2 linked regions of the Drosophila melanogaster genome follow. The protein of the gene in region 1 purifies or fractionates together with the protein of each later gene. This does not show direct contact. Each region holds a gene or a part of one and is shown in the gene's direction. Other genes may lie near its edges.

The links.
Region 2: the proteins of Gp93 (region 1) and Cyp12d1-p purify together in Drosophila melanogaster (affinity purification with mass spectrometry, with the first as the bait; one large-scale study listed by BioGRID). This does not show direct contact.

Annotation. Positions count from the first base shown.
Region 1 is NT_033777.3:27,946,876-27,952,659, forward strand, and holds Gp93 (glycoprotein 93), read left to right. Parts: upstream 1-1,835; 5' UTR 1,836-1,986; coding exon 1,987-2,026; intron 2,027-2,108; coding exon 2,109-2,198; intron 2,199-2,295; coding exon 2,296-2,378; intron 2,379-2,466; coding exon 2,467-3,719; intron 3,720-4,052; coding exon 4,053-4,950; 3' UTR 4,951-5,276; downstream 5,277-5,784. Other genes in the region: mfrn (mitoferrin), read right to left, coding at 319-435; CG4951 (uncharacterized protein), read right to left, coding at 5,366-5,539, 5,600-5,784.
Region 2 is NT_033778.4:11,116,703-11,123,578, reverse strand, and holds Cyp12d1-p (cytochrome P450 12d1 proximal), read left to right. Parts: upstream 1-1,694; 5' UTR 1,695-1,730; coding exon 1,731-1,832; intron 1,833-1,892; coding exon 1,893-2,218; intron 2,219-2,272; coding exon 2,273-2,389; intron 2,390-2,453; coding exon 2,454-3,474; 3' UTR 3,475-6,354; downstream 6,355-6,876.

The DNA of each region.
Region 1 (5,784 bases):
ACCGAATTTTCAGAAGAACGATGAGAACGCTCCGCCGATAAGAGCTAGTCCAATTACTATGGCTAATCTTATCGCGGAAGCATAAACCAATGGAACGTGCTACGATAAGCGTTCAGAGCGGCTATATGTGGCTATACCACCCAGAGCTCTTAATGAGAAACGCAACTCTTGGTTGCACTCGAGACGTGGGCAATTACATCACGATTATGCCAAAGCAGCGGCGGCACACACAAAATTCCGATTGATAGTGAGGTTAGGTCGTGTTATGTTCATGCCGCTGCTCCTCCGATTACCAGGCGGCCATGCAGTCTCTCTCACCTTGACGGAGTCCAGCGGATACATGACCACATGCTCCAGCACGCCCGCAATTGCGCCCGCCGTCATATTGACACCCACACTGGTGGTGGGCAGCGATTCGTAGTCGTCGATGTTCATGGTGGATCCGAACGGTTGCCGTCGCTTTCGATTGTTGAGGCTGCTGGTGGGGCTGCACTATCGACTGTGTTGTGTGCTAATGCTGTGGTTGCGCCCTTGCAGTCGCTGCTCCTCTTACGACAACCTGCTAATCCGGACCAGTTCTGCCAAGTCGCTGTTGCAGTTGCTGCTGCAGAGCCGCTTTCTCCGCTGGGATCGGGTCGCTCCGCCTGTCGAGGATCGGCGTTGGTTAGCGGGCAACTCTTGGCCGGCGTATGTCGGGCACTTTTGGTGCAATTTTGTTGTATAACACGGATAACACGACGATTCACGGACGCACGGGCGGGTGTATTTCGGGGGGTGGTGCTGCTGGCGGAGGCGGCGGCGGTGGCGGTGGTGGTGCAGAGTGTACGCGTGAGGTGGTCTTATGCGAAACTGCTAATTGACACTGCTGTTGCACGACTAGCATACAGACGACATAGAGACGATTCCCCGATTCAACGATTCACGCGAGGAAGCAATTTCTGGTTTAGTTGCTCGCGGCTAAGCTGCTGCTGCTGGAGTGGCGGCTGCGGATCGGTTGTTTTATGAATATATAAGAGTCGGTTTGTGGCCGAAGCGGAATTTTGGCTGGGTCGGTGTTTGGCAACTGACGCAAATGTTGTATGATTACAGCGAATCATTAAATTTCGCCCAATAAACAAGCCTCGTGCCCAGAGTGACCGCAGCGGGAACGTCGCAAAATACCAAAATGGCTCGGGTGAAAATACCAGCACAAGTCCACCCACATGTGGGTGCGGAACCTTAACGCCATGGCAAATAAAAATACCAACATTAAAATATTTAACTTAACATTGTAAAATAAACCGAACGGTACAAAATCATATGTTATATATTCTAAAACGAAATGGATTTCCTTGATCTCTGTCAGGAATTTATATTTTATTTCAATTCATATTTTTATCATTACTTTGCTATATCAATAAGTTCTCAGTTATCTATTTTGGCAGCTTAAAAATTGTATATACACGAAGTTGTTGTGCAACCGACCGAAGAATTTATTATTTTAAAGCTTAGTTGTTGTATACATGAAAAGATACTAATTTGTTTCAAATATAAATCATATATCTACCGGCCTAAGTGTTCCCTTTTGTAAACTATTGATATAAGAATGTAAATTATCAAATTAAATATATTTAACAGTAGAGTTTTGACACTACATCCTCTTGTAAACTAAATCCCAAATAGATTCTATGAATGTATGGGCTTTCAAATAAGCAAACATTAAATTTATTTAAATTACACTATTTTCGTGCTCTGTGCTGTATATATATCCTATTTCCAGTGCAGCCCCTGGTATTTCCTTCCAATGCGCTTAGAATGTTCCAGCGCCGGAATACGGTCACTCTGCGAGGCATTTAAAGGCCTTCCAGCCGCTTGTCGGCGTCAGTAAAAAAAAATCAAAGCAGGCGACGCAAGTGCGGACTAATTTATTGCATCTGTTATTCGTGACGTGGCCTTTCGCCGGACGAACCGATAGCTCGAGCTCCGTAAATCAAGCTACCAAAGATCATGAAGTACTTTTTGCTGGTGGGCCTGCTGCTCCTAGCAGGTAAGTGTGCACATTTGCCACGCCGCATTGAACCGGTGTTTTAACCTAATTATTAATTGGCGTCTGATTCGCGTCTGATTAGGCATCAATCAAATAGCCGCCGATGACGAGGCCGCCACAACGGAGACCATCGACCTTGATCTGGGCTCCTTCAAGGAGGGCTCCCGCACCGGTACGTAGACACGCCCCCCTCTCGCGACGACGAGTTTTGTTTGGTACACGTCAGCGTTGCGATAACCGCCCCCTTTTTCTAATTCCCAATCCCCCAGATGCCGAGACCCTGAAGCGCGAGGAGGAGGCCATCCAGCTGGACGGCCTGAACGTGGCGCAGCTGAAGGAAATTCGCGAGAAGGTGGGTTCATTGCCAGGTCATTTGGAAGGTACACGTATGACCGGGATTTCCTTTCCCTTTTTTCTTTGTCTTTTGTCTGTGCGTGCAGGCGAAGAAGTTTACTTTCCAAACGGAGGTCAACCGCATGATGAAGCTGATTATCAACTCGCTTTACCGCAACAAGGAGATCTTCCTGCGTGAATTGATATCCAACGCCTCCGATGCCATCGACAAGATCCGCCTATTGGCTCTGTCCAACAGCAAGGAGCTGGAAACGAATCCGGAGCTGCACATCCGCATTAAGGCCGACAAGGAGAACAAGGCGTTGCACATCATGGACTCGGGTATCGGCATGACTCACCAGGATCTGATCAATAACCTGGGTACAATTGCCAAGTCCGGCACTGCCGATTTTCTGGCCAAGATGCAGGATCCCAGCAAGTCGGAGGGACTCGATATGAACGACATGATTGGACAGTTCGGTGTGGGCTTTTACTCCGCTTTCTTGGTCGCCGATCGTGTAGTGGTGACCACCAAGCACAACGACGACAAACAGTACATCTGGGAGTCGGATGCCAACAGCTTCAGCATCACCGAGGATCCCCGTGGCGATACTCTGAAGCGAGGATCCGTGATCTCGCTGTATCTGAAGGAAGAAGCCCAGGACTTCCTGGAGGAGGACACCGTGCGCGAGCTCATCCGCAAGTACTCGCAGTTCATCAACTTCCCCATCCGCATGTGGTCCAGCAAGACCGTCGAGGAGGAGGTGCCCGTGGAGGAGGAGGCCAAGCCCGAGAAGAGCGAGGATGACGTGGAGGATGAGGACGCCAAGGTCGAGGAGGCCGAAGATGAGAAGCCCAAGACCAAAAAGGTTTCGAAGACCACCTGGGACTGGACCCTGATCAACGACAGCAAGCCCATCTGGACGCGCAAGCCCGCCGAAGTGACCGAGGATGAGTACACTAGCTTCTACAAGAGCCTGACCAAGGACTCCAGCGAGCCCCTGACCCAGACGCACTTCATCGCCGAGGGCGAGGTGACCTTCAAGAGTTTGCTCTACGTGCCCAAGGTGCAGCCATCGGAGTCCTTCAACCGCTACGGCACCAAGTCCGACAACATTAAGCTGTACGTGCGCCGTGTTTTCATCACCGACGAGTTCAACGACATGATGCCCAACTACCTGAGCTTCATTCGTGGCGTCGTCGACTCCGACGATCTGCCCCTGAACGTTTCCCGCGAAACTCTGCAGCAGCACAAGCTCATCAAGGTGATCAAGAAGAAGCTGGTCCGCAAGGTTCTCGATATGCTGAAGAAGATCGACAAGGAGGCGTATGAGAAGTTCTGGAAGGAGTTCTCCACCAAGTAAGTGTCGCTTTCTAGGAATTAAGAAACGTTCTTTGCCTGTTCAAATAATTAGTTATTTATGATAAGCATTTCCGCAGAATCCATTATAATATGGAGAATAGAATGACGTGTATTATTTTTTGCCAACAAATTAATATATTTAGTTTGTTGCTTTAAAGAATTCCGCGCTGATAAGATAAGGAAATCCACGTAGTATTATAATATTGGCACTGGTGACGTGTAGAGTTTATACTTAAATATTTTATTTTAGTTAAATAAGCATTTCCATTAGCTATAACCTCGAATTCTTGGATTTTCGTTGCTTATCAAGACTTAATTGACTCATTTCAGCATCAAATTGGGCGTGATGGAGGATCCCAGCAACCGATCGCGTCTCGCCAAGCTGCTCCGCTTCCAGACCTCCAACGGCAAGGGCGTCACCTCGCTGGCGGAGTACAAGGAGCGCATGAAGGCCAAGCAGGAGCACATCTACTACATCGCTGGTGCCAACCGCGCTGAGGTCGAGAAGTCGCCGTTCGTCGAGCGTCTGCTGAGCAAGGGATACGAGGTGCTGTATCTGGTGGAGGCCGTCGACGAGTACTGCATCTCCGCGCTGCCCGAGTTCGATGGCAAGAAGTTCCAGAACGTGGCCAAGGAGGGATTCCAGCTGAACGAGTCCGAGAAGAGCAAGAAGAACTTCGAGTCGCTAAAGAGCACCTTCGAGCCGCTGGTCAAGTGGCTGAACGATGTGGCACTCAAGGATCAGATCTCCAAGGCCCAGGTTTCCGAGCGTCTGAGCAACTCGCCATGCGCCCTCGTGGCCGGCGTCTTCGGCTGGACCGGCAACATGGAGCGTCTGGCCATGTCCAACGCCCACCAGAAGTCCGACGATCCTCAGCGCACCTACTACCTCAACCAGAAGAAAACGCTCGAGATCAATCCCAGGCATCCGCTGATGCGCGAGCTGCTGCGCCGCGTGGAGGCCGACGAGGCCGATGACACCGCCAAGGACATGGCTGTGATGATGTTCCGCACCGCCACCCTGCGGTCTGGATACATGCTCCAGGAGACTTCGCAGTTCGCCGACAGTATTGAGCAGATGATGCGCCAGACCTTGGGTGTCTCCCAAGACGAGCAGGTGGAGTTCGACGAGGAGGAGGAGGATGATGCCGAGGAGACCGCCACCGGCAGCCAGGAGAGCGGCAACGCCGATGATGAGGAGGAGGAGCAGCAGCACGACGAGCTGTAAACTACTTCACCTCACCCACTGTCCAAATAGATTGTACATAAGAGTGTGAAGTTCAGACTGAGTTTTAAACCGCCACCGGGTGGCCGGGCGGGCACTCCATCAACATTACACGCTAGATTCTAAGTAAAATAATTTCGTAGTCCTTCGCCCACGCCGTCATCACCGCCAGTCGCCCAGAGAGCACTCCACCATTTCAGCCAGCACACTTGGTTGCTCAAGCGTTTTCTTTTTTCGAAAGCAAGTGAATTATGTATTTATACAATGTAATATGCTTAGTACACAACAGATTCCAATCAAAACAAATAAAGACAAATGAATTTAAAACTAAAACAACTGCCTATTTAATATGGCGCGCAATGTAAAATTTCCGCAATCGGATACCAAAAAATAGTTAAAAAGTGAATTGATTGCTCGATCAGTCAAGATCGGAACTCAGCGGCTCATCGTTCAGGGCCCTCAAGTAGGTGTTGTACTTCATCTGGTCGCGGATCTGCTGCACGGCCTCCGATTGGGACAGCGTGTATGTGTCCATAAAGAGGCGCACTATCCACAGCGGGAGCAGTCCGTTCACCAGCAGCGACGTGTGGTTCTGGTAATCGGGACATGTTAGGATGGATATGTGTGTCACTCCAGGACGCCCCAAACTTACGCTTCGACTGCTGTAGACCTCGCCCAGTTTCTTGAGCATCTGCTGGTGAATGCTCTTGCTCAGTATGTCGATGACGTCCATGTGGGCAATGTTCATGTAGTGACTGGTGCGCGGCTTGAACTCGCGCTCCTTGAACAGCTTATCGAAGTCGCTGCGATAGTTTTCGAACGTATTCAGCACCTCGT
Region 2 (6,876 bases), on another chromosome or scaffold:
GACTTACGGCAATAATTTCGCTTTCTATCACTGTGATGGTGGGAATTCTTAGGAGTCATGCTGGATTGCAGCTTTTCAATTTGTAGAGAATCGTTTTGTTATTCCTCTTGGGATGCGATGCTATATAAGCATTTTGGCAGGCTTCCCAGCTCAGTTGTCATTTTAGGCAAGCAGTTAATAAAATTAACTATGAGTATTGCGCAGAATGCGCAATCCATTCAGCTTGTGAGGGCATCTTCTAGTCAGGCACAGATTTTGGCCAATGTGAGTTGAAATACTATCACCACAATCGGGTATTCCACTAACATACATATGTGATCTGGATATTAAGGTAGCCGATAGTGTAGTCACTGAAGCGAGATCCTATAAGAACATTCCACTTCCCAGAAAACAGGAATTTGCAAGGGCATTTATGCCGGGTGGAGAATTTCACGATGCCTCAATTTTGGATTATGCAGCAGCGATGAGAAGTTGTTATGGTGATATCTTCATAATGCCTGGAATGTTTGGTCGCAAGGATTGAGTCACCACATTTAGTACAAAGAATATCGAGACTGTTTTCCGCAGTGAGGGAACTTGGCCGGAAAAGGATTTCTTTCCCTCGATCACATATTTCCATTTATGGAGAAAGTGTGGGTCTGATATTCGCGTAAGTTACCAAATAATTACATATGTATATCAAAAGCGGAAGTTAATTTGGAAACTATAATTTAAGGCAAGCAGCGTTGTGGGGCAAGATGCGATCAGCCGTCAATTCAATTTTTATGCAACCCAAAGGATTGAAAACTTATTATGAGTTCAACAACTAGTTCATTGAGCGCTAAGAATTAATTCATACTTGTATATTTCGATGTCCACCTGAGTTTTACTTTTTCTCCAACATTAAAGAAATTCGAGATGCTAGAACTCTGGAGATGCCGCCTGGTTTTCGAATCCCTTGGCTTGGTGGCTTTCGATCGCCCAATGGGTTTGATCAGTCGAAATCGAGACGATCCAGATGCATTGACTGTGTTCCAAAACACGAAGCACGATGTTCAGATATGCCTTTCAATTGAATATACAGCCATCAATGTGGAGATTTATCTCCACTCCAAACTTTCGGATGATGATGCGTCTTCTCGATGACATCTTAATGTTCTCACAGAAAATGATAAAGGACACCGAGGACTCTGTGGAAAAGCGGCGCCAGTAAATAAATAAAATAAAAAATAAATAAAATATCAGTATGCAAAGAGAACAAGGATCAACTCTAAGAATTGTTTTTATTTTTCTTTAATTTGGTTATTTATCTTGAAATTGTCTACCGTTGAACTAGAATCCTTATAAATTTTTAAAAAATATTTAAATATTTTAGATTTTTTTCTAGCGATCCCACTAAATGAGTAACGGGTATGTAATAGTCGTAATAGTAGTATCAAATTCTCTGAGGTGTATTTATTGTAAGTTCCAACGCTCTCAATTTGTTTTTCTAGCCAGTCACGTTCATTTGTTTATTTTTTCAGTTGAGTGAGGTAGGCAATTCACGGCGATTATACCGTTCAGCTGATAAGAAAATGAAACTCATGCTTTGTTTGCTGGCTTTTGTTTTTGTTTGAGATTTTTGCATTTTGAAGCATTTCAAGTTATTCGCTCTCCTCTCTTTTCTACGTTTTAGAGATAAGCCTTTGGTATAAGAACGTTCTCGAAAGTGGAACTGTTTTTAGTTGCAGTTGATCACCAAAAGGAATAGAATGAATACATTGAGCAGTGCGCGATCTGTGGCGATTTACGTGGGTCCCGTTCGATCTTCAAGATCAGCCTCCGTTTTGGCACATGAACAAGCTAAATCTAGTGTTAGTATGCACAAAATCCAGTCGAAATAGATTTATCATGTTATTAGTTTCCAATTATAGATAACGGAGGAGCACAAGACCTACGATGAGATTCCGCGGCCCAACAAATTCAAATTTATGAGGGCTTTCATGCCCGGTGGTGAATTCCAAAATGCATCGATTACGGAATACACCAGTGCCATGCGAAAGCGCTATGGAGATATCTATGTAATGCCCGGAATGTTTGGCCGCAAGGATTGGGTCACCACTTTCAACACAAAGGACATTGAGATGGTATTCCGCAACGAGGGTATCTGGCCACGTCGTGATGGCCTGGATTCCATTGTATATTTCCGCGAACACGTTCGACCAGATGTTTACGGTGAGGTTCAAGGATTGGTGGCTTCGTGAGTATAAAATCTAATAAGTAGCAAGGAAACAATTGAATTTGAATATTTCAGACAAAATGAGGCATGGGGAAAACTACGATCAGCCATTAATCCCATCTTTATGCAACCCAGGGGCTTGAGAATGTATTATGAACCATTGTCTAATATCAATAATGAGTTTATAGAGCGGTAAGAAATTTTTGTTATTGAATTGTTATTTATATATAGCAATAAATTCCATTTTACTGTGCAGCATTAAGGAAATCCGCGATCCAAAAACTCTAGAAGTCCCCGAAGATTTTACGGATGAAATAAGCCGGCTTGTTTTCGAGTCACTCGGCCTGGTGGCTTTCGATCGGCAAATGGGTCTGATTAGAAAAAACCGCGATAATTCCGATGCATTGACCCTCTTCCAGACCTCGAGGGATATTTTCCGTCTCACATTTAAGCTAGACATTCAGCCCTCCATGTGGAAGATCATATCGACGCCCACCTACAGGAAAATGAAGCGAACTCTCAATGACAGTTTGAATGTGGCCCAGAAAATGCTGAAGGAAAATCAGGATGCACTGGAAAAGCGCCGCCAGGCTGGCGAAAAAATAAATAGTAACAGTATGCTGGAGAGATTAATGGAGATCGATCCCAAGGTGGCGGTGATTATGAGTCTGGACATCCTATTCGCTGGTGTGGATGCCACAGCCACGCTTCTGTCGGCTGTTTTACTCTGCCTCTCAAAGCATCCGGATAAGCAGGCCAAACTGCGGGAGGAGCTCTTGAGCATCATGCCCACAAAGGATTCCCTACTCAACGAGGAGAACATGAAGGATATGCCATATTTGAGGGCTGTGATCAAGGAGACACTGCGATACTATCCCAATGGCTTGGGAACCATGAGAACCTGCCAAAATGATGTGATACTTTCGGGTTACCGGGTGCCCAAGGGAACGACTGTCCTGCTCGGCTCAAATGTGCTGATGAAGGAAGCTACATATTATCCACGACCAGATGAATTTCTGCCGGAGCGCTGGTTAAGGGATCCGGAGACCGGAAAGAAGATGCAGGTCAGCCCCTTCACGTTCCTTCCCTTTGGCTTTGGACCCCGCATGTGCATTGGCAAACGGGTGGTGGATCTGGAAATGGAGACCACAGTGGCCAAGTTGATTCGCAATTTCCATGTGGAGTTCAATCGGGATGCCAGCCGTCCATTCAAGACCATGTTCGTCATGGAACCGGCCATTACGTTCCCCTTCAAATTCACGGATATCGAACAATAATTTGCTTCTCATTTGTGGCCTTTACTTGTGTTCCTTATAGTTGCGATTTTTGATTACAGTAAATGTTTGACTGATGAAATGCAGATAAGAATTTTGCCTCCTCCTATTTCGCATTGTTGTGCAAACCTCGCTGTTTTGATAAGCAAAATGTTTAATACGTTTGATAAGATTGCGCTTTGTTGTGGCATCCCTATCGCTTTTTTTCGTATCAATTTGTTTTTTTCAACACAATTGCGAGGTGTGCTTTTCTTATATTTTTAGGTAACAAAGAAGAGACTATTGTAGGTTGTTATTTTTCTTGTTTTTCCCCCACACTTTGTATATTTAGGTGGTGGGTAGCGCTCACCAAAGACACTTTCAGCTGGAGCTTGCAGCTTGGCAGGCAGGTGAGAACGGGCTGCCGAGAGGATGTCCTTTGCCGCGCCACAAATACTTCTAACGGCAACAGCAAAATCAGGAGCAGCACCCAACATCAGGAGAGTAGCAAAGCGGCAAAAGCAGCAACAACAGACATATTCGCCTGCGGCCTGCGGAGTTATGCTAACTGGCACTCAAAGCAAAGCGCGGCCAAAAGCTCAGGTGGTTTGCCCTGTGCCACCTGCCACCTGCCACCTGCCCCCCTGGTCTTGTTCTTGTTTTTGCTGTTGCTGTGCCTGCCACTTGGCACTGGCAGCTTGTAACAATAATTTAAGCGATTTTGCGCTTTTTGCGAGTGGGTTAATGGCATGCTCAGGATCTAGGAAACGGGAAGTGGGAACTGTGAGCTGGGAGCCTGCAAGCGGGTATCCTTTGGCGTGGCGAAAATTCCACTTTTGTAGCAAACGCACATAGCTTATGAATTCCGCAATCCCCGATGCGGTGCAGCAGCAAAATGGTAGGGATGATGGACCGTGGGTCCTGGTCCAGTACAAAGTAAAAATGCAGAACATGTGTTTTTTCGGGGTGGCTGGATAACCTGGCTTATAGCAGCCATGGCCAGGGATCAGCTATATACATATACATATGGTCATGTACATCTCTTTGTGTCTGCTGTATATTAAAATTCAATTTTAAAACCGGCCACGCACAACCGGGCGTATGCGTAATGCGGCATGCAATCATTTGCGTGCGCCTTCGCTTGGAAATTCCTTTGCCATAACTAATCTCGAAGGCCAACCAAGACTAAGGCCAACCTAAGACTAAGGACCAGTCCTGACGTTTCATATTTCTAGCTCACCGCCCTGCCACCCAAGCTCAACCCGTTCCTTTGCCGCTCGTCTTTTATTTTATTTAATCTTTTTTCTTTTTTTTTTTTTGTGAAAAATTTCATACTCATCAAGTTGACAAAGAAAAAGTTTTTCATTATTACATTTCGCTGTCATTTGGGCGCAGAAATAGCTTGGAAAAGTTCTCGGAGTCCCGCTTTTCCTTCGCCGGCTGCCGGTTGAAACTCGAGTGCAGCGCGTAAATGAGTCACTCCCATTTTGAGTCGCCCGCCCGCAGCAGTCGGCGCTCATCATCAGATTTCCAAAAGGATAATGGTTTGGGTTGTGCTGGGCTGGGTTGGATTTGGTTAGGTTGTGGGGTGGTGGGGGGCAGTGGGAAAGGCACGGGCCCATTGCGTAGCTTGACGTAATTTTCTTGGCCTGCCTGACGAGTCGCATCCTTGCACATTAATCCATTGGTGTGCCTGGATCTCGGTAGTCGGAACCCCGGAACCCGGAACCCAGAGCTCGGATCTTGGTCCTTGCTGCACGCAAATGAGGGTATGGTCAAATCACTCACTGTCAGCCCGTGTCCCAAGGAATGCGTTCAGCATGTCCTTTAATTTTTTCTCCCTCTAAGACCAGTTTCATTCCCCTTTTCTGCACTTTGACAAAAAGCTGAGTCCTTAGCTTGCATAAGCAAAATGAATGAACCTATTTTTAAGTCATATACTTTTGAAAAGATACAAAATGGCCTTTGTTTAATTGAATAAATTTTTTTTGAAACTTTGAATGACATTATATATTTTTATTTAGTTGTTTTAAGCAATAATAAATTTGCACAAATTATTATTTAAATATGTTTGAATAGTTTAAAAACTTAATGATTTTTCAGTTTTTTCTTATTAGTAGGTCTTTAAATTTCTTTTGAGTCTCCTCAACATCATTCCATTGATTAGCAATTCGGATGACACTTTTCTTATTGTGCAGGCACTAGCATTTTCTATAACTTGACGTTTGCCCGCCTTGTCGTTGCCCGTCCATTTTCCATTTCCCATTTTCCGTTCGGCCAGCCCATCCCCACTCCCCCTGGCTTCTTTGTCCGGCTTGTACTTGTGTTGCCTCGCTTGCCGCTTTGCTGCCTGTCAGCGCGCAGCTTAAGATAAAAACTTTCCTTTCCACCCAAAAAAGGGGCCAAGGCGGCAACACCGGCCAGAAAAGGCTGAAAAAAAAGCAGGCAGAATGGCCTGCGAAAGGGTTGACTCTGACATTTAGCTTTCGCATATTTGCACACACCCCGCGTCCCCATCCACCGACAGTATATTTTATAGACTAAGGCGAAGACATGACAAATGCTCAAATAGAAATTCTTCAACAAGATTCTTGGCCGAAACTTAAGTTCATTTTTTGGTCGTGCACATCGCATGGGGGCTTTTGTAAGGGCCTCACCAGAAAGAATTCAAATTAAAATGCGATTGCTCTGGGGCTCACTCGATTTTCGTGTGTTTTCTGACACGGCCTGTCGATGGTTTTTGCATTTGTCTGCAAGGCTGAATTTAATACAGGACACTCTGCGCTTTCCGAATCACGAATTGGCTTCAAATTCAATCGATTGGTGGGGCATTCAAATATTAACAAAAATAGAAAAAAGGGTGTGCTTTTTGTAACAATTTGAAAATACTTTTATTTACTTAGGTAATTTAAGTAAATAAAACAATATACTAAAAGTGTGTAAGGCAGTTTCTGTTTTAGTGAATATATTACCTATAACTACATTTTATAAACCTGTGACAAAATCTACGTTATCCATTTAATGGCTATTAAATACTCCAAAACATTTTCCGCATCGATTTCCTTTAATATTCAAAATCATTTTCCGCTTTCACAGGAATAATATCAAACATATGACCGTGCAGCTGACGCTCAGATGTTTTCCCGCTTTCCACGCGGCCACTCGAACTTTTCATTCATCAGGCGCAGCGCACACGCATTGCCGAATTTGCACCAACACCAGTGCATCGGGGTCACCCAATTTCCACCCAAAACAGCCACCCACTCAGCCGAAGCAGTCGAATAACCCAGACACCCGCACAACTCACTCACCCATTCATATATTTTATGTTTTGTTTACATTGCCGGCTTGTGCAGCCCAAACAACAACTGATTCTATGGAAAAAGCGTTGGGAAAGCCTTGTGACGTCACCGGGAATGTGCGTGC